7 linked regions of the Macaca fascicularis genome follow. The protein of the gene in region 1 interacts with the protein of each later gene in a biochemical or structural test. Links are inferred from orthologs where the notes say so. Each region holds a gene or a part of one and is shown on either strand. Other genes may lie near its edges. The genes, in order: UBA1, UBE2Z, UBE2E3, UBE2R2, UBE2L6, UBE2A and UBE2D4.

Evidence for each region.
Region 2: of the proteins of UBA1 (region 1) and UBE2Z, one has a biochemical effect on the other in vitro, tested with the Homo sapiens proteins (3 studies listed by BioGRID). The link is inferred for Macaca fascicularis from reciprocal best matches to the Homo sapiens genes UBA1 and UBE2Z.
Region 3: of the proteins of UBA1 (region 1) and UBE2E3, one has a biochemical effect on the other in vitro, tested with the Homo sapiens proteins (3 studies listed by BioGRID, with this or other methods). The link is inferred for Macaca fascicularis from reciprocal best matches to the Homo sapiens genes UBA1 and UBE2E3.
Region 4: of the proteins of UBA1 (region 1) and UBE2R2, one has a biochemical effect on the other in vitro, tested with the Homo sapiens proteins (5 studies listed by BioGRID, with this or other methods). The link is inferred for Macaca fascicularis from reciprocal best matches to the Homo sapiens genes UBA1 and UBE2R2.
Region 5: of the proteins of UBA1 (region 1) and UBE2L6, one has a biochemical effect on the other in vitro, tested with the Homo sapiens proteins (2 studies listed by BioGRID). The link is inferred for Macaca fascicularis from reciprocal best matches to the Homo sapiens genes UBA1 and UBE2L6.
Region 6: of the proteins of UBA1 (region 1) and UBE2A, one has a biochemical effect on the other in vitro, tested with the Homo sapiens proteins (6 studies listed by BioGRID, with this or other methods). The link is inferred for Macaca fascicularis from reciprocal best matches to the Homo sapiens genes UBA1 and UBE2A.
Region 7: of the proteins of UBA1 (region 1) and UBE2D4, one has a biochemical effect on the other in vitro, tested with the Homo sapiens proteins (4 studies listed by BioGRID). The link is inferred for Macaca fascicularis from reciprocal best matches to the Homo sapiens genes UBA1 and UBE2D4.

The regions. Positions count from the first base shown.
Region 1 is NC_088395.1:47,320,515-47,323,136, reverse strand, and holds the end of UBA1 (ubiquitin-like modifier-activating enzyme 1), read right to left. Parts: coding exon 2,446-2,622; intron 1,304-2,445; coding exon 1,202-1,303; intron 1,094-1,201; coding exon 993-1,093; intron 836-992; coding exon 700-835; 3' UTR 501-699; downstream 1-500. UniProt on the Homo sapiens protein: Catalyzes the first step in ubiquitin conjugation to mark cellular proteins for degradation through the ubiquitin-proteasome system.
Region 2 is NC_088390.1:57,796,746-57,800,245, reverse strand, and holds part of UBE2Z (ubiquitin-conjugating enzyme E2 Z), read left to right. Parts: intron 1-1,504; exon of another isoform or gene 1,505-1,678; intron 1,679-2,995; coding exon 2,996-3,108; intron 3,109-3,500. UniProt on the Homo sapiens protein: Catalyzes the covalent attachment of ubiquitin to other proteins. Specific substrate for UBA6, not charged with ubiquitin by UBE1. May be involved in apoptosis regulation.
Region 3 is NC_088386.1:76,487,114-76,490,737, forward strand, and holds the start of UBE2E3 (ubiquitin-conjugating enzyme E2 E3), read left to right. Parts: upstream 1-1,500; intron 1,501-1,838; coding exon of another isoform or gene 1,839-1,881; intron 1,882-2,038; 5' UTR 2,039-2,063; coding exon 2,064-2,257; intron 2,258-3,624. Other genes in the region: uncharacterized protein, read right to left, coding at 1-1,318, 1,839-1,881. UniProt on the Homo sapiens protein: Accepts ubiquitin from the E1 complex and catalyzes its covalent attachment to other proteins. In vitro catalyzes 'Lys-11'- and 'Lys-48'-, as well as 'Lys-63'-linked polyubiquitination.
Region 4 is NC_088389.1:65,590,192-65,594,371, forward strand, and holds the start of UBE2R2 (ubiquitin-conjugating enzyme E2 R2), read right to left. Parts: upstream 2,801-4,180; 5' UTR 2,194-2,800; coding exon 2,017-2,193; intron 1-2,016. UniProt on the Homo sapiens protein: E2 ubiquitin-conjugating enzyme that accepts ubiquitin from an E1 ubiquitin-activating protein, and catalyzes its covalent attachment to other proteins by an E3 ubiquitin-protein ligase complex.
Region 5 is NC_088388.1:16,046,504-16,050,497, reverse strand, and holds the start of UBE2L6 (ubiquitin/ISG15-conjugating enzyme E2 L6), read right to left. Parts: upstream 2,801-3,994; 5' UTR 2,725-2,800; coding exon 2,701-2,724; intron 1,410-2,700; exon of another isoform or gene 918-1,409; intron 1-917. UniProt on the Homo sapiens protein: Catalyzes the covalent attachment of ubiquitin or ISG15 to other proteins. Functions in the E6/E6-AP-induced ubiquitination of p53/TP53. Promotes ubiquitination and subsequent proteasomal degradation of FLT3.
Region 6 is NC_088395.1:125,912,995-125,917,018, forward strand, and holds the start of UBE2A (ubiquitin-conjugating enzyme E2 A), read left to right. Parts: upstream 1-1,224; 5' UTR 1,225-1,373; coding exon 1,374-1,417; intron 1,418-1,562; coding exon 1,563-1,643; intron 1,644-2,036; coding exon 2,037-2,062; intron 2,063-4,024. UniProt on the Homo sapiens protein: E2 ubiquitin-conjugating enzyme that accepts ubiquitin from the ubiquitin-activating enzyme E1 and transfers it to a E3 ubiquitin-protein ligase. In vitro catalyzes 'Lys-11', as well as 'Lys-48'-linked polyubiquitination.
Region 7 is NC_088377.1:86,333,873-86,338,037, forward strand, and holds the start of UBE2D4 (ubiquitin-conjugating enzyme E2 D4), read right to left. Parts: upstream 2,801-4,165; 5' UTR 2,766-2,800; coding exon 2,724-2,765; intron 2,710-2,723; exon of another isoform or gene 2,310-2,709; coding exon of another isoform or gene 2,286-2,309; exon of another isoform or gene 2,116-2,285; intron 2,078-2,115; exon of another isoform or gene 1,877-2,077; intron 814-1,876; exon of another isoform or gene 708-813; intron 1-707. UniProt on the Homo sapiens protein: Accepts ubiquitin from the E1 complex and catalyzes its covalent attachment to other proteins. In vitro able to promote polyubiquitination using all 7 ubiquitin Lys residues, but may prefer 'Lys-11' and 'Lys-48'-linked polyubiquitination.

The sequences.
Region 1 (2,622 bases):
TTCCATAAAAATTGCAAAGTATGCCTGCAGGCACTGGCATTCAGCAGAGCTGTTTAAGACACCCCTGCAGCAAGGAAATTGAACTAAGAGCACCACAGGCATTCCTGGTGCTGGGAACCATGACTACAAAAGGCTGCCCAGGGTCTGAGTGCTTTGAGCCAGGTGGGAGGGGATCTGCTCTAAGGACATAAGGCATGCTGGCCATGCCCTAGCAGCCTGGTCACAACTTTCCTCTTCACAGAGCAGGGAGTTAGGACATGGAGAAGGTGAGAATTGAACCCAGCTCAAATTAATAGTCACATGGACCCAAGTACCTGCTCACTGGCCTCACTGGTGCCTCCTTTTCTTCCTAGGCAGAGAGGGCAGGAAGAGGTGGCAATTACATTTTCTTTGCCCAGAAAACTGGCAGGTGTGGTGGGGCTGAGCCCTCTGAGTTACCATCTGAACCAGATAGTTCCAGGAAGTCCCTTCCTTGCCTGGAACCAGCAGGGCAGGCGACGTGGGAGTTATTAATTCTTTATTAGGATTCAGGTTTCAAACAAGGTAGAAGGCAGTGGCAAGAGGAGTTCAGGTAGGGGGATGATGAGGGAACACCAGACTTGGCTAGCTGGGCCACTGCCAGAAGCCAAATGGGAACCCTGGGCTGGAAGGGGCGTGGAGAGGGATGGACAGGGGCCGGCCTAGAGGAGCAGACGGGGGTCAGCGGATGGTGTATCGGACATAGGGAACCTCGACATCCTCGCCGCTCTCGTCGTTACAGCACAGCTCAAGCACCAGCGCCCGCACGTGGCGGCCCAGTTTTCGCTTCGACACACGGCTCACAATCTCTGTCATCCTGGGGACAGGGGGATGGGAGCATAGGGTCAGGAGGGCAGAAAGCAAGAGAGGACGGGCAGGTAGGTGGGGGCAGTGAACTGGAGTGGGACAGCTGGATGTTGAGGTTCCCCAACCCATACAGGGCCTCCCCCCAGCTTGGCCAGTGGCCAACTCACGGCTGATCCAACCGTTCCTTGAGCTTGGCAGCTGGCATGAAGAAGGAATAGAGCATGGACACGCCCTGGGACAGCATGGTGATCTCTAATTTGTGCTCTGTCTGGAGAGGGACGGGGAACAGCAGGGTCATGGGGGTGGACAGGCCAGCAAGTCACCTTGCACACCTCGCCCCCCAAGGTGGGGTGAGAGAGAGAGGGAGGGGCCTTACCTTAAAGTAGTCGAGGAACTGTTTGAGGGTCATCTCGTCACCATTAGGCTGCAGCCCTTGTACCTCAAAGCGATCCCACAATGTCCACTCTTGGTTATAATACTGCAGGACAAAGAGGGGAGTGTAAGATGGAGACCATCCCAGAGGGTCCAGCCCCCATCTGTCTCCATCCCCCTCACCCCCATGCAGACGTGTTCAGTCAGATCACAATCCTCTTTTGTTCGAAATCCTCTTGTGGCTCCCATCTCACCCCAAGCACTGAAATTGTTTTCTTCTCATCTCCTACTCTCCTCAGTCTCACACTCACTCCGTGGACTTTGAATTCCTCCAACTTGCCAGGCACACCCCTATCTTGGTACCCTTTTAAGAACTGGTCCCTCTGCCTGGAATGTGTCCCCACTCACCACCAAGCCTGCACGGTTTGCCCCCTCACATCCTCCAATTCTGATCTCAAGTGTCATCTTTTCAGCAAGGCCTTTTCTGACCATCCCACGCAAAATCTCAAACACATCCCCTTGCCCCCTGGTATTCTCAAGTCCTCTTTATCTTTTTGAGATGAGTTTTGCTCTTGTTGCCCAGACTAGAGTGCAATGGCACGATCTCGGCTCACTGCAACCTCCGCCTCCCAGGTTTAAGTCATTCTCTTGCCTCAGCTTCCCGAGTAGCTGGGATTACAGGTGCCCACCACCATGCCCAGCTAATTTTTTGTATTTTCAGTAGAGACAGGGTTTCATCATGTTGACCAGGCTGGTCTTGAACTCCTGACCTCAGGTGATCCATGTGCCCCAGCCTCCCAAAGTGCTGGGATTACAGGCGTGAGCCACCACGCCCGGCCTCTTTTTATCCTTTTTTGATTCCAAGATCATTTAATAGGTTATTTATATCATCTACTTGAGGAACATAACTTAGAAGAGTACCTGCACACAACAGGTGCTCAATAAATATTTGAGTGAATTCATGAATGAAGCAAGCAAAGCATATAAGTGTAGGAAGCATCCAATAAATTTTGGCTGCCATTATTGTGTAGTTAATAATACTAATAATCTCCCAGGGCACAATTCAAATATCCCATCTTTTCGCATGTACTCAAACAATATGATTAATGAATAAACGAAAAAGGATGCATAAAAAAGGTAGGTACACATAGACAGAAACCCTCACCTGGTGACAGGGTATGACGTGAATTAGAACCAGAATCTACAGACATACCCCACCCAAACCCCACTTCTGATGCGGGCCCCCACCTGGTGACGTGGTGCGGCAAGGGGTTCAGAGAAACCGAAGAAAGGCAGGGCCAAGTTGAGGAAACCATTCTTGTAGGAGTCAAGCTGTCGGTGCCCCTGCACAACCTTGTACAGCTCCAGACACACAAGGCCAACCACGGCTGCTGTGGTCGTGGCAATGGCTGGGATGATCTTCCC
Region 2 (3,500 bases), on another chromosome or scaffold:
CAGGCTGGTCTCGAATTCCTGACCTCAGGTGATCCACTTGCCTTGGCCTCTGAAAGTGCTGGGATTACAGGTGTGAGCAACCATGCCTGGCCAGCTTAATTTATTTTTAAACTACTACAGATGACACCAACTTTGATTATTTCTCTATAGACCTGAACAAAGGATAACAAAATACCTTTCAAAAATGAAAAAAAAAATTTTTTTTGAGACGGAGTCACTCCGTCGTTCAGGCTGGAGTGCAGTGGCTTGATCTTGGCTCCACCTCCCAGGATCAAGCAGTTCTCCCACAGCCTCCCGAGGAGCTAGGACTACAGGCACACACCACCACGCCTGGCTAATTTTTGTATTTTTAGTAGAAATGGCGTTTCACCGTGTTGGCCGGGCTGGTCTCGAACTCCTGACCTTAGGTGATCAGCCTGCCTCAGCGTCACAAAGTGGTGGGATCACAGGCGTGAACCACCGAGTCTGGCTTCAAAAGTTAACTAAAATTATTCCCTAATCCATCCTTTCTCCAAACAGTCATTTCAGGAGGAGATTCTAATTGAAATAGACCTCATTAGCAGGAGCTGATTTGTAGGTCTTATCTTTTTTTTTTTTTTGGAGGCAGACTCTCATTCTGTCACCCAGGCTGGAGTGCAGTGGTGTGATCTCAGCTCAGTGCAACCTCTGCCTCCCAGGTTCAAGCGATTGTAGTGCCTCAGCCTTCCTAAAGTAGCTGGGATTACAGGCACACACCACAACGCCTGGCTGATTTTTGTATTTGTAGTAGAGATGGGGTTTCGCCATGTTGGCCCGGCTTGTCTTGAACTCCTGGCCTCAAGCAGTCTGCCCACGTCAGTCTCCCAAAGTGCTGGGATTACGGGTGTGAGCCACCATGCCCAGCCTTGTGTTTTTTATTTTTTACTTCTACAATGACTTGCAGTTGTTTTTATTTTATTTTTTATTTTATTTATTTATTTACAGGCACGCACCACCACGCCCAGCTAATTTTTATATTTTTAGTAGAGACGGGGTTTCACTATTTTGGCCAGGCTGGTCTCCAATTCCTGACCTCGTGATCCACCTGCCTCAGCTTCCCAAAGTGCTGGGATTACAGGTGTGAGCTACCGCGCCTGGCCCATCAGCTGCTTTTATCAGAGGCCACGGCTCTAATTGACTGGGGTTGGTGGTAAGAGAAGAGCACAGGAAAAAGTAAAGAGGAGGCTGTACTCCCCTTCCATTCACACCATAGTGAGATCCTGTTTATATTGGCTTTCTAGACCAAAGTTGAAGTTTATCTTTTGAAAGTTTTAAGTTCTGCTTCTGCTAGATTTATTTCTAATTTTACTATTTCTTTGAGACAAAGTCTTGCTCTGTCACCCAGGCTGGAGTACAGTGGCACAGTCATAGCTCACTGAAGCCTCGAACTCCTGGGCTCTAGCCATCCTCTCGCCTCAGCCTCCTGAGTAGCTGGGACGACAGGTGCACATCACCAATGCCCAGCTAATTTTTGTATTTTTTATAGAGACGGGATCTCACCATGTTGCCGATGCTGATCCTGAACTTCTGAACTCAAGCAATCCGCCTGCATCGGCTTCCCAAAGTGTCGGAAGTACAGGCATGAGCCGTCGGGCCCAGCCCTACTTCTGATTTATAATAATTGGTTCAATGATGGTGGGACCCTAGAGACATATAACAGGTAAAGGGGTTAATCAGGAAGCATCCTTTACTTGTTGGTGCCTAAAGGTTTTCCACGCTGAGACTCTTCACTTCATTTATACCTTTTTGTCCCACCATCATTCTTTCTTTCTTTTTTTTTTCTCCCCCTAAAAAGACAAGTGTTTCCCAGCCTGGGCAACCTAGTGAGACCTTGTCTCTACTGAAAAAATTAAAAAAAAAAATAGCTGGGCATTATGACATGCACCTTGAGTCCCAGCTACTTGGGAAGCTGAGGAGAGGAACATCGCTTGAGCCCAGGAATTCAAGGCAGCAGTAACCTCTGATCATGCCTACCACTTTCCAGCCTGGACGACAAAGCAAGAGCCCGCCTCTTAAAAATTTGTAAAATAAAAGACAAATAAGCTGGGTGCGGTGGCTCATACCTGTAACCCCAGCACTTTGGGAGGCGGGTGGATTACCTGAGGTCAGGCGTTCAGGACCAGCCTGGCCAACATGGTGAAACCCCGTCTCTACTAAAAAATAAAAAATTAGGCGGGCATGGTAGCGGGCACCTACAATCCCACCTACTTGGAAGGCTGAGACAGGAAAATTGCTGGAACCCAGGAGGCAGAGGTTGCAGTGAGCTGAGATCGTGCCATTGCACTCCAACCTGGGCGACAAGCAAAACTCAAAAAACAAATAAATAATAAAAAATACAAACTTGGGACCCGCTGTGGTGACTAATGTCTTTAGTCCCAGCTACTCAGGAGGCCAAAGTGGGAGGATTGCTAGAGCCCAGGAGTTCGAGGATCCCTAGATCCCAGGAGGTCAAGGCTGCAGTTAGCTATGATTGTGCCACTGCATTCCAGCCTGGGCAACAGCAAAGACCCTGTCTCCAAAAAGAAAAACTGAAAAAACAGGATCTTACTTTGTTGTCTAGGCTGAACCCAAACTCCTGGGCTCAAGTGATCCTCACACCTCAGCTTCCTGAGTAGCTGGGACTACTGGTGCATGCCACAAGGCTTAGCAACCCTACCATCATTCTTATGTTTGGTTATTTCCCTCGTAATCTTTACTTGATAGGCCTTTCACTTGACATTCAGGAAAATGATGTGGATCTAGTTTGCTGGTTATAGGCCAAATGACCTGCAACCTGATGGTATATTTGGAGGGTGGTGGGGTGAATGGTGTCAAAAATAAAGGTGTGGTTGCTCTTCATGGATCTGCCATACAGTGGGAAAGGTATTTTTTAGTTTGTATGACTGGCTTGCATACCCCATACTAATCTTGAAGTCTCTTCCCATTGCCTTTCTTTTTGCTTAAATTTTGGGATACTCTGGCATCTGTTACATTACAGGAGAGACATCCAGGAGACAGCAAAAACTATAATGAATGTATCCGGCACGAGACCATCAGAGTTGCAGTCTGTGACATGATGGAAGGAAAGTGTCCCTGTCCTGAACCCCTACGGTATGTGTCAAGAGGGCTTGCTTGGTATTATTCCTTTGGGGCACTTGGGTAGTTGACACCTTTGAGGAACTTTGGGGCAGAGACAGTGTTGGGCACCAGAGGGAGATAGAGAAGAAGGAAAGATGTGGTTCCTGCTTTTAAAGAACAAGCTGCTGAGGGTTACCCAAGAGAAAGTTCAGAGAGCTACTGTGTTGGAGAACGCCAAGCCTTTGGGAGAGGCAGTCCACACCCTCAGGGAGTTTCCAGTTTGATGAAGGCTTGGATGTACTTTTTTCCAGCCAAATGTGTAGAGCACTTCATAATAAACTCATTTCTTAGTGCTGAAGTTTATTTTTATTATTATTTATTTATTTATTTATTTATTTTGAGATGGAATCCCGCTGTGTCGCCCA
Region 3 (3,624 bases), on another chromosome or scaffold:
TAAATAGAGGTTGGTCCCCTAATCAACAAATATATTCTACTCTCTTCAATGCCCAGGACCCCACCTTGTCCCTTCCTCCAGCTTACACGAGGGGCAAGTGGCAGCTCTTCTCCGCCTGCGTGCCTGGCCTCGCCAACAACACCCATTAGTCTCCCGTCTCCCGGGGCGGCGGGGGACTCCCAACCACGCGCCCAGGGCCCTTTCCCAGGTACTGGGGCCCCGGGAGCCACGACGTCCCCCACGCAGGCGGACGGGATGGAACTAGCCCTGGGGACGCGGGTAGCCCAATGGGCAGCCTCCGCCCGGAGGCGGGCCCAGGCCGGAAGCCACCCCGCGGCACAGCGGCCCCACGATACGGTGCCCGCGCCCCCGCCTTCTCTGGCACAGGCTCCGCGGCCAAGGGCGGCAGGGGCCAGCCCGCCAGGTCCCCGCCGCGCTCTTTGTCCTGGCCGCGCGCGGGCGGACGCGTGCACCCCCCGGGTGAGGGGAGGTGCGGGGAGCGCGCGCGGGAGCGCGCGGGAACAGCTCGCGCCCGCCGGGCGCCGGCGGCGCGCGCCCCTCCGCCAGGCAAGCAGCGAGCACGCGCGCCGCCGCCGCGCCCGCCCCTCCCCCCGCGTTCGCCTCGGAACTTGCTGACTGCGCGGCCGGGAGGAGCCGAGCCGGGCGGCGGCGGCGGGAGGCCACAGCGCGCGGGGGTCTCCCGCGTCCCCTCCGCCTCGCCGGGAGCTCGCGCCCTCGCCCAGCCGAGCTCCCACCCCCCCTTTTTTCCGAAGGCGCTGGGCGGCGCCACCCTCCGGCCGGAGCCCGGCACTGCACAACCCCCTCCGACTTTCAATGTTCCACACTCCCCGGCCAGAGCCTCCTCGGCTTCTTTTTTTCCCTCCCCCCCCTTCCCCCCCCCACAGCTGCCTCCATTTCCTTAAGGAAGGGTTTTTTTCTCTCTCCCTCCCCCACACCGTAGCGGCGCGCGAGCGGGCCGGGCGGGCGGCCGAGGTAAGGCGGAGGGGCCGGGGGGCCGCGTGGGGGGCGGCCGGGGCGGCGGCGGCTGCGGTGGGGGAGGGGGCGGGGGCGGGCAGCTTTGTTCGCGCCGGGCGCCCGCGCCGCCGGTGTCCGCGAGCCGCGGCGGGGCCGGCCGGGCTGCTCGCATCACTTGGCGCCCGGCGCGGCGAGCGCTGCCCGCGGCCCCCGCGCGGCCCTCCCCACAAAGGGCCGCGGAGCTGCGTGGCCGCCGCCGCCGGCCGCGACTCGCCTCCGCGGGCGCGGAAATTTGTTGCACTTCTTGGGGCTTTGTTTGTTTGTTTGTTTTTCCTCTGGGTTTCTTATTTTTTTCGTTATTTTGGACAAAATGTCGGTCCGTGATGTAAAAATTGAGCGAGGAACCTTGGTGGCATTGGGAGCTTTGCAGAAGGTGCAGTTTGAATTCTGCTTTTCCCAGGGTGGCAGCTAGGTCTTGGCCGGATGAATCTTCGCTGCTGGCGGTGGAAACAGCTAGAGGAGCTCGTTAGTTGATTTTTAAATTTCCAAGTGTTGTGTTTAAAGCCTTTACGTGCACTGAGAAGGAATCGCCACCTTAAATAAGCATATGGGCGATTAACAGGGTGTGTTTTCCTCTCGGAAAGGGAATTTGGTAGCTTTGACCAATGTCAGTGTGTAAATATTTAGACGTTATTAGTGACTTTTAAACATTTTTTCAGCGAGATCTGTTATTTACAGTATGTCATATGTTATTAATGCTTGTTGCCTAAGTTCCTTGGCAAATCTGTTTCATGCCTTCTGAGAAAGTAGACAATTGATAGATTGTCCAAGAGATGGAAAAAAATGTGAGTGGGTTTTCTAACTTGAGTTCGGCAAATCCCTGAACGCTGGCGTTGTGTGACACATCACCTCCCTTGTAACCCTTGTTGTATGATGAAATAAGTGTGAACACTTTTGAAGCTTTTTCATTACAATACGATATTAGATGAATAGAAGAAAATGCTGTTGGTTTATTTCCTAGATTTAACATTTTCTCCCCATCCTCCCCTGTTCTCTTTAAAAGTTTTCCAAGAGATAACTTCACCAAGATGTCCAGTGATAGGCAAAGGTCCGATGATGAGAGCCCCAGCACCAGCAGTGGCAGTTCAGATGCGGACCAGCGAGACCCAGCCGCTCCAGAGCCTGAAGAACAAGAGGAAAGAAAACCTTCTGCCGCCCAGCAGAAGAAAAACACCAAACTCTCTAGCAAAACCACTGCTAAGTTATCCACTAGTGCTAAAAGGTAATGTGTAAAAGAAGGATCCAGCACACTTTGTCAGGTTGTCTTCCAGGTGGTTGGACGCTTTTGTTGGTTTTACATCAGTAGCAATAGTTCAGAAATATTTACTTCATTATCAGTTTATTTGTACTTGAATGAGTTGTCATTCTTTAGGTGGTATGTATGCAACCTTGCTAGAATTATGCTTTTAAGCAAACTTATTCTGTACTTCGGTAACTTCAGTTGAGTATCCTTGAGTAGAGATTAGACTAACATTCTGACAGATTGTTTAAGGAGTTGGCAAGGAAAATTTGGTGAACCCAAATTAGATGGTACTTTGGGGATGTTTCCTTTTATGAGTCATAATCTTCTTTAATGAAATTGACACTTCCAGAGATTAGCAGGGCCTCTCTTCATGAAACTTAATGATCAGAAATGATCATATTTGCTAGAAAATTGCAAATTCAGGCCTTTGCTATGTTTGAAAGCAGATTTAAAATCGTGCTGCAAATCTGCTTACAGTTTTACAAAACATGACTTTAAATCATGTATCACAGGTAACTTTCGTGGTTAAATTATGATTATCCCTCCCTGTGCTTGTGAGGGCAAATCAAACTGAAAAGTAGCCCTTTACAATTTGAGGTGTCACTGGTGATAGAAAACTTTCATTGTCCTTGGACCTCTTCACTCTGAAACTTGTGGATGTGCTTGACAAGTTAATACTCAACAGCAGGAGAAACATATTTAATTGGATGTAAGTGGAAGATCATTTGTTTCCTATTGATTTATATTTTCTGATAGAGAAGAAAAGATTCTGTCAATGAGACTCTGTCAGTGGTAGTAGTAGTGGAACATCCACAAACTCTAGTAATTATACATAAAATGTATAATCTCTACAGCGTTAGCCAATGTTGACATTTTGTTAATTTTTATTGATCACAACTAAAGGAAAAAATATTTCTACAAATACTGCATTCTGTGGTGATTCATAAATACTCATATTTTTCTATGGATTTTCACCTTTATTGTCTCAGTAATGATGTATTAATAACTTGAGAATATTTTTGAATGGCAGCAGTCTTTGACATAATATAAAATCCTTCTCAATTTGGTATAGTGTTGATGCAGAACATATTAGACACGTCTAAAGTTTTGAAAGCATCTTAAATTTGAATCAAATCAGAGAACTGCTTTTCTCCCCCTTAACTCAGGCCTATGTATTTTCTCTTTCTGTCAATATTTACTAAATTTAAGTGCTGTGCCTATGATCAGGGAAAACAGAAATGGGTAAATTAGAATGTCATGTAGTCTTCGAAAGTTTTTCACCAGTAAAGATATTTGTAAATTTTAAACTTTTTTTTTGACAGATAAAATATTGTCAGAACTGTTAA
Region 4 (4,180 bases), on another chromosome or scaffold:
AAACAATGCTTTGTCAGAAAAGGCATCATGGTCGGGCCGGTGGCTCACGCCTGTAATCCCAGCACTTTGGGAGGCCAAGGTGGGCTGATCACAGGGTCAGGAGTTCAAGACCAGCCTGGCCAATATGGTGAAACCCCATCTCTACTAAAATACAAAAATTAGCTGGGCGTGGTGGTGTGCACCTGTAGTCCCAGCTGCTTGGGAGGCTGAGGCAGGAGAATCGCTTGAACCTGGGAGGCAGTGGTTGCACTGAGACAAGATCACACCACTGCACTCCAGCCAGGGTGACAGAGCAAGACTCAGTCTCAAAAAAAAAAAAAAAAGAAAGAAAGGCATCACATAGATTCAATTTTGTACAACTCATTTTTCCAGTATGCATAAAAATTTATATCTGACAACAGAGAATATGCTTAACATAAACACAGCAATACCTTTCCACTTTGTTACTAATAACTTGCATGTTTTCTTAGAAATTTTAAATACCTCCATCTGAAAAGTATAGGGTAGGCTGACCACAAAAGATGAAGCCTAACAGTCGGTAGGGGTACCGCACTTACATAATATTCTAAAAACGTGCTTTTCTAAGTATTCAGTGACTATCACAGTAGCGAATATTAAACATTCCTGTATAAATCCCATCTCCTATAAAGTTGACCTAATTTCAAGCATAAAACTGAGGTTTCCACCTTTAGAAGGGTAGAAAACAAGAGTTAAGTAATTGGGTAGTCCTAAAAATACACATCACAACTACATGACTAAGATACTCATTTAAAACTTGTGCCAAGATAACCCCTCCCTTCCAAACTAAAATTGACTCACTGGCCTATTTTACTTAATTTTGGAAATAAAAAAATAAAACTAAATGGATTCCTAAGCACTCATTTCCTCTGTCTCTGCCCGCATCATTTAAAACATTCAAACTTTCAATCTGTGATTCCTCCCTGCAAAAACACTCAAGTAAAAACAAAACAAAACAAACACTCATTATCTCCAGGTTAACTACCTTGGAGTTAAAAAAAAAAAAAAAATTAGATTCTAGAATAACCACTGTTCTAAAACCATATGAAACAATAGAAACAATGTCTGTGGTCGCTAAGCAAACATATATCCCACCCAGAGAAGCGATCTCGCCTCAGATACTTGTCACCTGTGAGACCACCCCTTTAGCTAGAGTTAACCACTTGAGAAGGTTTCAATTTTGTCTCTGAAAGTGGGAAGCTATCAATCTCCCTACATGACTCGTTCCACCCTCTGTGGATATTTCTACCTGTAGAAAAAAAGGCTGGCAAACTTGGTGGCACAGTGAGGACAAAGGGCATTTTGAAAGAACCAGTGACTGAGGTAAGCAGAGAATGTGAACGGAAAGAGGGTTAAAGTTCCCCCAAAAGGATAATGACAAGACGCGGGCACCCCTTTTTTTTAACCACCCCTAGGGTCCCATTCTTCACCACCACCCATTGGAATGCAAAGTTGGCACTACTACTACCCAAGAAGTCCAACAAATCCTCAAAATGTCAGGGCACTCGGCAGCTTCTTAAATGACAAGCTGGTGCCCCTCCCCCACCCTCACCCCCACCCCCCCAAAAAAGAAAAGTCCAATCCAGTCGGTGCAGGTCACCCTGCCCTCTGGGGCAGTTCCAGCCTGCGCAGGGAGGGGTTCCGACCGGAGGACGAGAAAGCACAGACAGACCACCGCTCTTTCCACCCGCCCTCAGCTGGGGAAACAAAGACGGCCTCCTGCGCCTGTAGCCACTACCCTAACCAGAGAGAGACTCTCCGATTTCCCGGTGCAGCCTGCCCTCCCGCCCTCGCCCGCGCCCCCGCCCCCATGACAAAGAAAAGGCACTCGGCGAGCAAGGCCTTCCTGCCTCCACGGATGGGGGAGGGGGCTGCCGGGGTGAGGAGCCCCCTCCACTGGCCCGTGCTCATACTCCTGGTCCCAGGAACGGCAGAAAGCGGCGGGGAGCCGGAGGCCTCGGCCGCGGAGGCAGGGTCCGGGAGCGGGGGTGAGGGTACCTTGAAGTAGCCGCCTTCGTAGAGGGTGTTAGGGGGCCCGAAGATGGCCACCTCCCAGTTGTAGAGGTCGGACTCGTCCACCAGGGTGATCCGGAAGCCCTCCACCGGTTCCTCCTGCAGGGATTTCAGCTCGAGCATCAGGGCCTTCTGCGAGCTGGTCATCTGCTGCTGGGCCATCGCGGCGGCGGCGGCGGCGGCGCCGGGCCCGGGCCCCAGTCCTCACGCACCGGCCGGGCCGGACCAGGCCCCTCCCCTCCGCTTGCCCTCGGGCCGGGCCGCACCGGGCCCCGGTCTTCACACACCCGGCGGGCCGGACCAGGCCCCACACGGCCCGTGGGCCCGCCCGCGGTCCTCCTCACACACGACGCGGGCCGGGCCGGGCCCTTCTCCTCACACTCGGGCCAGGCGAGAGGAGAGGTCGAGGGAGTTAGGGGAATTCGCTCCGGGTCCCGGTCCCGGTCCTCCCCCCCCCAGGAGGGGGGCCTCAACTTTGGGGGGGGGGAGAGGAGGTGGAAGCGGAGGAAGGCGGCGGAGGGCCGGCGATGGTGAAGGGAGGGGGCCGGGCCGGCCCGGGAACGCCGCGCTCGCTCGCCCTCTCGTTCTCTTCGGGGGCCGTAGGGACCGGAGGGCGCGCGGGGCTGGAGGGGGTGGGGGGAGAGCGGCGTGCGGGGGTCTCGCGGCGGTGGCGGCGGCGGCTGCGCGGGGGGAGGGGCGACGGCGGAGGAGGAGGAGGAGGAGGAGAGCGAGAGCGCCTCGCGCCGCGGGAGCTACGGAGCCGAGAAGCAGGGAGGGAGGGAGGGAGGGAGAGAGGGAGGAGGGGCGCACGCCGGGAGCTGGGCGGCTCTCAGCGGCTGGCGACCCGACGCGCGTGCGCGCGCCCCTCCCTCCCCTCCCCCCACCGTGCCTGGCTCTTCTACACTACCACCTCCTCCTCCTCTTCCTCCCGCTTCCACGCCTCTTGGCCTCCCGCGCGGTCGCGGCGCTTTGTGACGCCGGCGCGTGTCCCCCGCCTATAAAGAGCCCAGAGGCAGCGGGGACCGAGGATGGGCGCAGGGATTGCCGTGGCCCCATAGTGACGGTTGTGCGGCTGGACGCCGCAGTTCCAAAGGCGTGCCCCGGAAGGGAACCCAGGTCCCCCGGTTCTCGGGGCCCTCCCCACTGTGGATCCAGGGGCCTCGGCAGCCATCCTGGGACGGGCCTGGTCGCTGCAGGCCCCTCCCTGTGACACCCAGTCTGCGGTCCCTCCACTTAGTAGCTACTTGATTAGGATGTGCTGAGAATGTGGGTCTTTTCCGTGGCAACAGACCTTCCCGCAGGCCAGCCCACAGGCAAATATGCCCTTGGGCACGTTACCCACCCTGGGTGCGGCAGTTCCACGTGAGAAACGGGGTAAGACAGAAAGGTCAGCTTCTGCTTCCCTTCTTAACTACAAAGAGGAAGTTGTGAGGAAAAAGAGACAATAACAAAGTGGGTCTCCTGCCCTTCTCATTGTGATTTGGGGCTACCCTTCGCCCTCCCCATTTGTAAAATTGTGCTTGAACTTTGACCCCTTATAGGTCCTTTTGGCTTGAATGTCCACCCTGGAACTGAGGGACTTTCGAGATAATCATAACCGAAATGAGATGTGGGGACAGTCTTTGGTCCCCGTGGTTCAGAATACAGTACTCCTTTCTCTTAGGAAGGCGTGTCCTAGGATAACTGCCTAAAAAACATTTCCTAGAAAAGCCAGAATACCGTGAGAGTTCTACACACACAATTTCGGAATCGGACAGATCTTGGTTCCAACCCTAGTTCCACACATTACTTCTCCCTGTCTCATCAGTTTTTTGTTTTTTTGTTTTGTTTTGTTTGAGACAGGGTCTTGCTCTATCACCCAGGTCGTCGCACAGTGGCGCGATCACGGCCCACTGCAACCTCCTCCTCCCAGGTTCAAGCGATTCTTCCACCTCAGCCTCCCAAATAGCTAGGACTACAGGTGCTTGCCACCACACCCGGCTGTTTCATCAGCTTCTGTAAAAGGGGATTAATTATACCCAACACAAGCAATTATAATGATTAAACGTATGTACAGCATTTAGCGTAGTGACTGGCACATGGTAAATGATTCATAGGAACTTGAAAGAAAAAACTTTTTTTTTTTTTTTTTGAGACGGAGTCTCGCTCT
Region 5 (3,994 bases), on another chromosome or scaffold:
TCAAGACCAGCCTGGCTAACATAGTGAAACCCCATCGCTACTAAAATACAAAAATTAGCTGGGCGTGGTGGCGGGCATCTATAATCCCAGCTACTTGGGAGGCTGAGGTAGGAGAATTGTTTGAACCTGGGAGGCGGACACCAGCCTGGGCAACAAGAGTGAAACTCTGTGAAAGAAAGGAGAGGAGAGGGAGAGAAAGAAAGAGAGAAAAGAGGAAGAGAAAGAGAGGAGGAGAGAGAGAAAGAGAGAGAAGGAGAGAGAGGAGAGAGAGGAGAGAAAGAAAGAAGGAAGGAAGGCAGGAAGGAAGGAAGGAAGGAAAGAAAGAAAGAGAAAGAAAGAAAGAAAAAGAAAGAAAAGAAAGAACAAGTTAAAAAGCAGAAAGACGAAGTTAAAGTGTACAGTTTGTATTAGGTTTTTGTTTTGGTTTTTGGTTTTTTTTTTTTTTTTTTAGACACTCACTCTGTCACCCAGACTAGAGCCCAGTGGCACAATCACAGCTCACTGAAGCCTCAACCTCCTGGGCTCAGGTGATCCTGCCACCTCAGCCTCCCAAGTAGCTGGGACTACAGCAGTATGCTACCATGCCCAGCTAATTTTGGTACGTTTTGTAGAGATGGCGTTTGGCTGTGTTACCCAAGCTGGTCTGGAACTCCTGGGCTCATGCAATCCACCCGTACTACCCAGGCTGGTCTCAAAACTCCTGGGCTCAAGCAATCCGCCAACCTCAGCCTCTCAAAGTGCTGATATTACAGGAGTGAGACACCACACCTGGCCTTTATTAGGTTTCATTTTGCTTGTTTGTTTATGCAATCAGTGTTAACTTGTCATTAGTTTAAAATAACGGGTTATAAGATATTATTTATAAACCTTGCAGTAACCTCAAATCTAAAAACATACAACAGATACATAAGAGTTACCTGACCCAAAATGTCAGCAGTGATGATGTTGAGAAACGGAAGCTCTCCAAACCCAGTCCACAGTTGAGGAGGGGTCCTTTACCACTGGGGACCATTTGAACTTTCTCTGCCTTCTCCCCACCCCCAGCATATAATATAAACACATCCCATGCCCCCCTCCTCTCTCTCAGTCTACCTTCCATCTCTGTTCAACCAATAAGCTGCTTCTGGTGCCTCCCACCCAGAGTCAATGGGCCCTCATTTATCTTTACCCCAAACTAGAAGCACCTGTACTCCTAAGAGTTTCTCTATCATCTGTGACTGTTTGGCAAGAACAAAGCCCAAGGCTGACCAGAGAAGAACTGGAATAAACATTTCCCTGACTTTACTATAACTGGGCACACTTGGACTTTATCTATTTAGGGTGAGTTCTGCCAAAACTTTCCCAAAGCCTGAGGAAGTTGAAACCCAACTTAAAACACACAGTTCTTTCCTACTGCCTAATAGGAAATCACCTGACTAACCAGAACAGAAAATGAAAGTAGAAAGGCCATTGAAAGAGCCTGCAGGCTGGAGGCCTGTAGACCTGGCTTCATAGTCCAGTCCCATTGTTCCTTACTGAAAGACTCTGGACAAGCAAGTTATTTTCTCTGCGCCTCAATTTCCTCATTTGTAAAATGCAGGTATATATTACTTATCTCACAGAACTGCTGTGAGAATTAGATGAAAGAACCATGTACACTGTTTGGCATGTAATGGTTCCAGTGCAGTAAATTCTGGCTCCCATCTCTCTTCCCCTTGGCTGGAAAGACCCTCTGACTCATTTTGCTGCCAACCTCCAGATTTAGGATCTAGGCCAAGCCTGCTCTGGGCGTCCCAGTCTGAGGCCATTTTCTTCTCAGAGGCTGTGGGTAGCAGGCACCCTCTTCCTCGCCTAGAGCCTGCCCTTCCACCCTGCAGACTGGAAGGGGCACTTCTGAGAGACTTGCGGTGCCATACTCACTTCACCAGGATCACCTTCCTCCCTAATCCATCTCCAAACACCCTGGGTTTTCCCACCTTCTGGAGGGAACTGCCCCCTCCGCATCCTTCCAGATCTTATTTCAAATTGTGTCCCTGATAGGAATAAAATTCAACAAGGGCCGGATTTGTGTTCATCTCTGCCCGCCCCACCCCCACCTCCTAGAACAGGGCCAGCACGTGTAGGCATTCAACACTTGTAGAACTCACGAATGCAAGCCACCTACTCCAGGAGGCCTTCCAGGTCCACCTCCGCATCTTGCCTCCAGAGAATACCCAGGGAACTTTGCCCCAAATTCTAATCAGCATTCCGTGTTTCTCAGGACTCTAGTAATACAGGCATCAAATTATGGGATGGGCCATGGGCTTATTCCAAGGCAAGGACTTCATCCTGGTCATCTGTGTTCATAACCCACCACAAGCAGTAGCAGAATGCCTGGCACCAAGATGCCAAGGACCTTTCCTGCACTGGAGATGCACCCAGTTATTATCACAAGTCTCAGGCAGGAAAAGCGAAATTGAAACCAGTTTTGGAGGAGCTAGCTCATCTTCACCACGCAAACGGCTCAAGCGGAGGCCCCCAAACCCCCAAAACTCTAGCTCTGGCCACTCTTGCAGGCCAGTCCTCCTCTGAGTAGAGCGCGGGAAGGACAGGGATTCAGCCAGCTCTGATGCCCAGACAAATAAATGAATGTGCTCGGAGAGCCGCGGAGGGGATGGAGAGAGGAGGGAATGCGCGGGGCGAGGGGAGCCAAGAGAAAGGGGTCATCCTATACGCGGTTACCTTAGCCACTCGTATGCTCGCCATCTCGGGACCGAGTGTGTGCCACTGGCGTCCTCCAGCAGGACCGAGCACCTACACGCCAAACAGCGCGCCCCGCCCCGGGGCCCCCACCCCCGGCAGCCCCGCCCACCCCTCCTCCCGCGGTCGCAGCGTGGACCTCCCGGCATCCGCGCTGGCGGGGCCAGAAGGCCGCCGAGGGACAACGCGCCGGGCAACCGCCCGATCCCCGCGCGGAGGGCTCGGACCCGGGACTCACGGTCCTTGTAGGGAGACGGGGGCGGGCCTCGGGGCGCGAGGCTCTGCTGATCCCTGCCTCCCGCTGGGGGCGTCGTGCACCGGCAGGGAGCGCTCAGGGGCGCTGGGGGGCGCTCATAGGGGTTCTAGCCTTCGCTCCGCCGGCGGCCGCGCCGGGAGCTCTCCGGTCTTGGTCAGCACCCCCGCGCGCCGCCCCAAATACACACTCGCCCTGAATGAATAAGGGAGGCTCGCTGTGCGGACGCGGCTCCGTGACAGTTCTCGGTGGCCTCCACCATCAGACCTCCGCCCTGAGCCCCTGCCCCAGCGAGCATCCGCAGCCGCCGAGCCTGCCGCCTTCCCTCCATGGGCCCAGCGCTCCTTCTCCGAAACTGCGTGAGGGACGGCGTAGACCTGTGCCCTCCAAGCACCGCTGCCCGGCGGTCGGGAATCCTTTATGCTGTCCGGCGTTCGGCGCGGGCTGCAACGTTTCTCCCAGTGGCTTGGGGCAGAGCACCTCAAGGAGGCGCTGTTGGACCCTTTCTCTTTTGCTTTGGGGGTTCGGTCTACCATCATTCAGTCCTTTACTAGGCTTAGTATTTACCAAGTGCCTACTGTATACTGATTTGGGAAACAGTTGGCTGGGGGAAGCCCCAAGACGGACTCAGGAGCCTCCTTTCCAAGAGAGCGTCTGCTTCGCCTCCCTTACTTTACATCTGGTCCATTATCAAGCTATGGGCCTAGTGTGCGCCCCCATGCACAGCTGGAGTCCCCACTCCTCTGTGCAAAGACAGAGTACTTGCAGCCCCTGAGCACCGAGCAGCATCTGGGGAGGATGAGACTTGTTGGGAGGGCCGATCCCCTCCTTCTCACCCTTCCCTACCCCGCTTTAGTCCAGACAAGAAAGGAAATAGCTATATTTTGAGCACTAGTTTGTGGTCTCAGTACCTCACAGGTTTTTTGTTTCCTGTTTTTCTGACAGAGTTTCGCTGTCACCCTGGCTGGAGTTCAGTGGCGATATCGGCTCACTGCAACCTCTGCCTCCCGGTTCAAGCTGTTC
Region 6 (4,024 bases), about 79 Mb from region 1:
ACTTGCCTTTACTGTCACTGCCTGGTTCAGTATCTCACACCTAGATACTGCAAGAGTCTCCTGCCTGCTCTCTTGAGACCAATCTCTGATAAGCACAGCTCTAATGATGTCACTTCCCTGCTTAATGGACTTCCAAGGAATCCATTAGCTTGGCATTCAAAACTCTTGATGACTTAACCCAAACCTACCTTTCTCCTATTTTCAATAATTTTTAAATGTGTATTATGCCTATCTTCTAAGTTATTTTGGGTTGACCTTTAAAAATTATCCTTTAAAACTGTTACTGCTTTTGCAGGTCCACGGACTGTGACTCTTCCCGCAACCTGCAGCTTTTCCACGTTCCTTTTACTTCAGACCCACTGTCCTTGCAACTCCCTGCAGTCGGATAGTCTCATACTGTGGACTCTTCTGAACATATAATAGCCGCTCGGCTTGTTGAACTACCAAGGGAAAATGTGGTTCCAGAGCCAAATTGTGAGTGCCCAAAGCAAAACAAAACAAAACAAAACCCTACTCTGCCTGCCTTAAGCTCCCATTCCCTCCCACAGGACATACAACACCATTTCATTCTGCCCAGGGGTGATCATTGGCCTAAACGTTGAGCGCCCAATCCTGCATTCAATCCCACAGCCCCGCCCCGCCCGCCGGTCATAGTCAAGGCCAATTTATTCTTTTGATTTTTCGTGATTTTAACCAATCACTCTGCTCCGCACCCCTCCGACCCCAATCTCCGGTGTCCGCAGGGATTGGGCACCCTAGAGTTGCCGCTTTTTGAGAACCGGTTTTACCTCCGCCCACTCCTTCGTCCTCTAGTTTGGGACTTCCAAACTTCTCCCCCCTCCTCCCCGGGCATAGTGCGCGCTCTCATGAATGATCTGGTCACAAAACAAAAAAGAAGAGAAAAAGAAAAAAAGGAAGAAAAAAAGAGAAAAAGAAAAAAAGCCGAAAACTTCCCAGGGTTTGCCTTAGAATTAGCAGGTGGGGATGGACCCCGTTCCACCACGAGGTCCTCCAGCGCCCCGGGCTCCAGCGTACCCCACGCCTCTGAGCTCGCGGCCCCGCCCCCGGCCTCCTGCGGGGCTTTAATGACATAAGCAACTTTCCTCGCGCACCCCCCGCCCCGTCTTGGTACGGCCTGTCCGGCGCTCGACGTTCCACCCCCCTCTCTCTGCTCTCAGGTTGGTTCAGCCCCCGTCTACACTGGGGTGGTGCTTAGCCGGCGCCAGACCGACCCTCGACTTCGGAGAGGCAGCGCGGTGCCTCTGGGTGCTTCCGCCTCCCCTTCTCCGGCTTCTCCAGCGTCCTCGGCCTCGTCGCCCGCCGCGGGAACCCGAGACCCCAGTGTATGCCCCACCCCTGACCCCGCTCGCGACATGTCCACTCCGGCTCGGCGGCGCCTCATGCGGGACTTCAAGAGGTAAACCGAGGGGACGGCCGAGGCCGGGGGTTGCGAGCCGGGGCACAGGGCGGGTCCCGAGGCGCGCCGGGCGGGGAGGGCTGGGGAGCGGCCGGGAGCGGGCGCCAGTGCCGGCCTAGGGGGACCCCTGTCTGTCTTCCCGAAGGTTGCAGGAGGATCCTCCAGCCGGAGTCAGCGGGGCTCCGTCCGAGAACAACATAATGGTGTGGAACGCGGTCATTTTCGGGTGAGTCTGCGTTCGTGGCGGTGGCGAGAGAACCGGGTACGCGAGCCCTCTCGGTCTGCGCTCCAAGGCGGGCCCCCCGTGGAGGCCGAGGGGGTAGGGGAAAATGTTTGGGTCTGGCTGGGCCTAGGCGCCTCCCCGGAGCCTGTGCCTCGATTAGCTCAGTTCCCGCTGCCAGGGGGAACCGCTTGGGGTTCTAGGGGGGCGGGGCGGGGAGTGGTGGCGGTTAGGCGCGGCGGCCTGCCCTGTGTCTCTGAGCCCGGGACATCTATTTGTAGTGGCTTTCGACTCCGGCAGCGGTGCGGGAGGTGGCAGAGCTCGGGATAGCCATCTCAGATGAAGCAGGGAGAAGGGGGCCCCTTAAGTGGGAACTGACCATTTTTCTCTGTGTTGCAGGCCTGAAGGGACCCCGTTTGAGGATGGTAAGAGAGAGTTTCTTTACCCACTTTTCAGGAGCCTGATCATCTGGGGAATGGGTTCCCACTCATCCTGGAAGTGTCTCCTGCTTAGGAACCTGGCTGTGCCTAGTCTCTGTCTGCTAAAGGCTTGAGTGGAATGCAGTGTGTAGCTGGTCGTTCTGGATATTGTATGCTTGACTAGAACTGCACCTTTCTTCTTGTTTTCTTAAAAAAAAATCTGGGGAAGGCAGTCACTTTTTAAAAGGAGCAATCATAGCACTGATATTAAGGATTTTTGAGGCTTGGGCTGTGATTCTGCTAAATTCAGCCCTCCATCACTGAATTAGTATAAACCCAACCAGTTGCTGATAGTCAGCAGAAACACCAGAGACCATCTGGTTCAGAATTCTACCCCAAGGGCAGGAATTGTGGTCAGCAGGTGCTTGGTAGATGTGTGTTGGATGTTGAGTGGATGCAAGCGTCCCTTCCATTCAACTGTCTGGTTTCTACAATCTGACATTGAATGCCTGTCAGCCTCACTTCTCTAAGATGGTCTTAAATGCCTCATTTGAGTACAGTATTGTTTCTTATTTTTAAGTGAATTTACAGTGTGTGCTTTCATCAAGACGTTATGATCAGTAATTTCAAAGCAGCTTCACAATTGAAGTTAGCCTCACTGTACCCTTTTGATCAGTGTCCCGCCTACTTGAAAGTACTACATGTACCAGTAGGTACATAATTTTTAAGTGATTTAGGTTTAACTTTTAAAAACACATGTGTAAATTGCTTTTTTAAAACTTTATGATTTTAGATAATTATAGATTCATATGCAGTTGCAAGAAATTAAGAGAGACACCCTTTATACCCTTAACCCAGTCCTCTCCCCAAACCCTCCCGTTTGGTAACATCTTGAATGACTAGACCCTATCACAACCAGAAAAATGACATTGATAGTTCTGCACTCAGTTGTGTGTGTGGTGTGTGTGTGTTGTTGTTTTTTGAAAGTTTAATACATTTAAAGGATGATTAAAGTATTTGAACTTATGAAATTCTTTAATATTTGAGGTTTTTAAAAAAAGGAAAAGGATGTTTCTGTTATTTTTTTTCCTCAATGATTTATCTTCATTCGGTCACATAGCATTTATACACACACACACACTTCAGTTTGAAGGTGGGAACAAAAACATTTCTGCAAACTACTTAATACATACTTATGTTGCTGAGCCGGATTGCTTTTTGATGCTACCAGTCCGCAAAATGTTGTGAGGTAAGTCAATATCAACTAAGTCTATAATTCATCTCAAGTAGTTAGATTTCTCCAGGAAACTGTGGACAGTCACCTGAATATTTTTAGCTTCCTCTCTACCTTTACCCCCTGGGTAAATATCATTGTTCTTCAGGGCTGCAATGAAAAGAAATGACAGCAGGAGACAGTGATTGTAAGGGCATACTACTTTGGTGCAGTTAATCATTTGAGCTGATTTGTAGCAAGAAACTATAGCTAGACTTAAATTTTCCTCTACCAGATTGGCACTAGTTATTTATTTATTTATTTATTTATTTATTTATTTTTGAGACGGAGTCGTGCCCTGTCACCCAGGCTGGAGTGCGATGGCGCGATCTCAGCTCACTGCAACCTCCACCTCCTGGGTTCAAGTGATTCTCCTGCCTCAGCCTCCTGAGTAGCTGGGATTACAGGTGCACGACACCACGCCCGGCTAATTTTTTGTATCTTTAGTAGAGATGGGGTTTCACCATGTTGGCCAGGCTGGTCTCAAACTCCTGACCTTAGGATCCACCCGCCTTGGCCTCCCAAAGTGCTGGGACTACAGGCTTGAGCCACCGTACTCAGCCAGCACTAGTTCTTTATACCTGAGATTTAAATGTACAGATTAACTGTGTATTTGCTTTAGCTCTAGTAGGCTTTGTTTTCATTGGCTTCTTTTTTCCTCGTTTTACTCTGTTTTATGCTGGGCACAGCTTTAT
Region 7 (4,165 bases), on another chromosome or scaffold:
TTCACCACGTCCTCTCCTCAAGTCCTGTCAATTCCACTTCTGTGATGTGGTCCAGGCACTGCTTTGTGACCCATTTTGTACACCTCCTTGTTTCACTTTCACCACATCCTCTCCTCAAGTCCTGTCAATTCCACTTCTGTAATGTGGTCCAGGCACTGCTTTGGCCTAGCATCCATTCCATGGTCATTAATTTGGGCAAAGCCTCTGCTGAATCTTCACAACAGCCTCTAGTCTCCCTCTGTCCCACTTTAGGCCACACTGCCGCCAGAAGGATCTTTTTATAACACAGATCTCAGCACGTCATTCACCTGCTTCAAAGCCCTAGGATGACAGATGACCCCTTTCAGAGAATAACTCATCAAAATTATCTCTCTTTTGGACAGCTATTTAAAAAGAAGAGTCATACTCTCAGAGATCCTGTTATTCCACCTCTGGCAATCAAACCCAGTAATGTGAATTAAGGAAAAGGCTCACTGTACAATGATGGTTGATCTGGTTTGGATATTTGTCCCCTCCAAATCTCATGCTGAAATGTGATCGCCAGTGTTGGAGGCGGGGCCTGGTGGGAGGTGTCTGGGTCATGGGGGCAGATTCCTCATGAATGGCTTGGTAGCCCCCCAACAATAATCTGTGAGTGCTCACTCTATTAGTTCATGCGAGATCTGGGTGTTTAAAAGAGCTGGCATCTCTCTCGCTCCCTTTCTTACCAGGTGACACGCCTGCTTCTCCTTTGCTTTCCGCCATGATTGTAAGCTTCCTGAGGCCTCACTAGAAGCAGATGCTGGCACTATGCTTCTTGTACAGCCTGCAGAACTGAGAGCCAAATAAACCTCTTTTCTTTATTAATTACTCAGCCTCAGATATTCCTTTATAGCAAACAAAACAGCCTAATACAAAGTTCATAACAGCAAATAGTGAAGAATTTTGAACAACAGCAGCTAACTCATATTGAGTGCTTGGTATACAGCAAGCATGTGCTAAACACATTTCATAGCATTTAATTCTCGAAACAACTCTGTAAACATGTAGGACTGGGAGGCTAGGAATGATTAAGTGCCTTACCCAAGGTCCCACTATAAGTGACCTCACATTCTCTAACCCAGGTCTGACACCCAAGTTCATACTTTTACCTACTACAGTTTTACCTACTACAGGTAATGACTAAATAAGTCACTAGTCATGTACTTGTGGAAAGTTAATGTTAAAAATTAGTTACAGAACTGGACATGGTGTCTCACGTTGTAATCCCACCACTTTAGGAGGTAGAGGCAAGAGGATCGCTTAAGCCCAGGAGTATGAGACCAGCCTGGGCAACATAGTGAGACACTGTCTCTACAAAAAATAAACAATTGGCTGGGCATGGTGGCATGTAGTCCCCGCTACCCAGGAAGCTTAGGAGGGAGGATCACTTGAACCCGGACGGTTGAGGCTGCAGTGAGCCATGATTGTGCCACTGTACTCCAGCCTGGGCGACAGAGCAAGACTGTCTCAAAAAAAAAAAAAAAGTTATAAATACTACTTCACAACATGCTTACATTTACTATTATGTGAATAAGTGGAATACAAAATGCAGGATAATTGTTTTAAATATAGAAAAAACTGAACATAGGTATGCTAAAATGTTAACAAATAGTAAAGTGATAGGATTAGAAATACTTCTTTCTTCTACTGTTGTGCATTTTCCAAATCCTAGTGAATGCATTAAACCTTCATGGACTCCCTCTTACCTACAGGATAAAAATCAGTTATTTCAGCACTGCCCCTAAGGACCACCCGAGTCCACACCATCTGCCCTTCAGCTTCTCCCCTATCCTGTCAGTCCTCCAGGCCTCGTGGTCTCCCCATTGCCGGGAAAGCCTTTTTCCCTCTTCCCCACCTGCCGAGTTCCTACTCATCGCTTAGGACCCAGCTTCATCCTGGATACCCTTCTGGATACCCTTCTGGATACCCATCCAGCCCTTCTGGATACCCTAGAGGAGCAAGCTTGCCTTACTCCGGGGACCCAGCAACCCGCTGTCCAGGAGCCTGCAGGTGGCCCCACGGCGCCCCGCCAGCGTGACGCAGCCCACGTGGTCACGGCCCGGCCCCGCCCCGCGCTCGCGCAATCCCCTTCTCAGGCTGCGTTAGCTTTTCAGGCTGCGCGGGTGGCTGTTCGGCCACCTTCCTAGGCAGGTGTATCCGCGACTTGCGGAGCCTTTGTCACCTTTCACTTCACGGCAGCGGCGCCCCGCCCACACCTCGACGCTTCGGACACCCAAAGAGTCGGAGGGTGGGAAAGTGCGTACCTTCTGGATCCGCTTTAGCGCCATCCTACCCCGCTGCCGGGGACCCGGGCGGCCCGGCCAGGGCTGCCTGAGGCGGCCCGCTGCCGGGTCAGCCGCCACCGAGCTGCACGCCGGGAGCCGCCGCCTGCGCTTGCGCGCGCGGGGAACTGTGGGGCCGTCGTCGCCGCGTGCAGAGCGTCCTGGCGCGGCCGAGGGGAAGCCGCGGGGCTGCCCCGGTTACGCTGGCCACCCGCACCCGGTCCTGTGGCTTCGACCACTGGTCAGCAAGGCCCCGGAGAGGCCAGCGAAGAGGAGGGGCTCGTTGGCTTTACCAGACGCGCGGAGCACCCTCAAGGTGCCAAACGCTCGCTTGCTCCCTGTTCCTACATCCTGGGCGTCTTCTCAGGCTGTCATATAACTCCTGAGAATAGTGGTTCTTAACTCTGTAAGTATACATACCCTTGTACGCCTTATGGCTGGATGCGTTACAGCCATTTCCATGTAGATGTCTGTGCATACGTGCACACGCACAACTCTCCGCAGTTTTGGAGATCTCCGTGTTCAGTCGTACCTCACGTGATCTTGCACTGCCAATGTTGAGAACCAATGCCTTAGACTATGCATCACCCAAACTTAATTAGCTGTCTCCTTCCTGTTTTCCTAAGACTTGGCAGGCGTGTAGGTCAGAGTTGTTTAAACTGAGGGTTATGAACTATTTAGTGTGTCACGAAATCAATTTAATAGGTTGCAACCAACATTTGAAAAAAAAAAGCCAGACGAAGTGGCTCACGCCTACAATCCCAGCACTTTGGGAGGCTGAGGCAGGCGGATCACTTGAGGTCAGGAGTTCGAGACCAGCCTGGCCAACATGGTGAAACCCCGTCTGTACTAAAAATACAGAAATTAGCTGGGCATAGTAACGTATGCCTGTAATCCTAGCTACTTGAGAGGCTACTTGAGAATCACTTGAACCCAGGAGGCAGAGGTTGCAGTGAGCTGAGATCGCGCCACTGCACTCCAGCCTGGGCAACAGAGTGAGACTGTGTCTCAAAAATAATAAAAAATAAAAATAAAAAAGAGAAAAAAATGTCAGTGCCTTTCACACAGTGAAGGTAAGAATTGTGGAAGTTTTGTTGCTGTGTATATGTAGATGATATTTAATCTTCAGACTGAGACATGTTTGAGCATGAAAGTGGCTCTTAATATAATTACTCTGGGACCAAAGCCATAATTTAGGATTGTCTCCAGCCAGCCAGGACACATGGTCACCTCTATGTTTGTACTTAGGAAACAAAATGTATTATAGACATTTCAATGGTTGCCCAGCTTTGTCCCTGGCTTTCATGCTCCTATTCCCCCAATCTGTCCTCCACACAACTTCATAAACTGTCTGAAATATAAAGCTTACCACACTGCATCCTTACCCAGAACTCTTCAAGGAAGCCCAGTGGCCTATAGCATCACATTCACTGTCATTCAGGGGCCTTCAAAATCCAGGATCTTCAGCCAGGCACAGTGACTCACTGTGGCAAAGTGCCTGTAATCCCAGCACTTTGGGAGATTGAGGTGGGTGGATCCCTTAGTCCAGGAGTTCTAGACCATCCCTGGGCAACATGGTGAAACCCCGTCTCTACAAAAAATACAAAACTTAGCTGGGCATGGTGGTGTGCGCCTGTAGTCCCAGCTACTTGGGAGGCTGAGGTGGGAGGATCACTTGAGCCCGAGAGATCAAGGCTGCAGTGAGTTGTGATGGCACCACTGCACTCCAGGCTGGGAGACAGAGCAAGACCCAGTCTCAAAAAAACAAAAACTCAAAACAAAATCAAGTATCCTCCAGCTTTACCTTCTCCTTCCTACCTCCAGCCCACCTGACTATCAAGTGTTTCCATCACCACAGCATC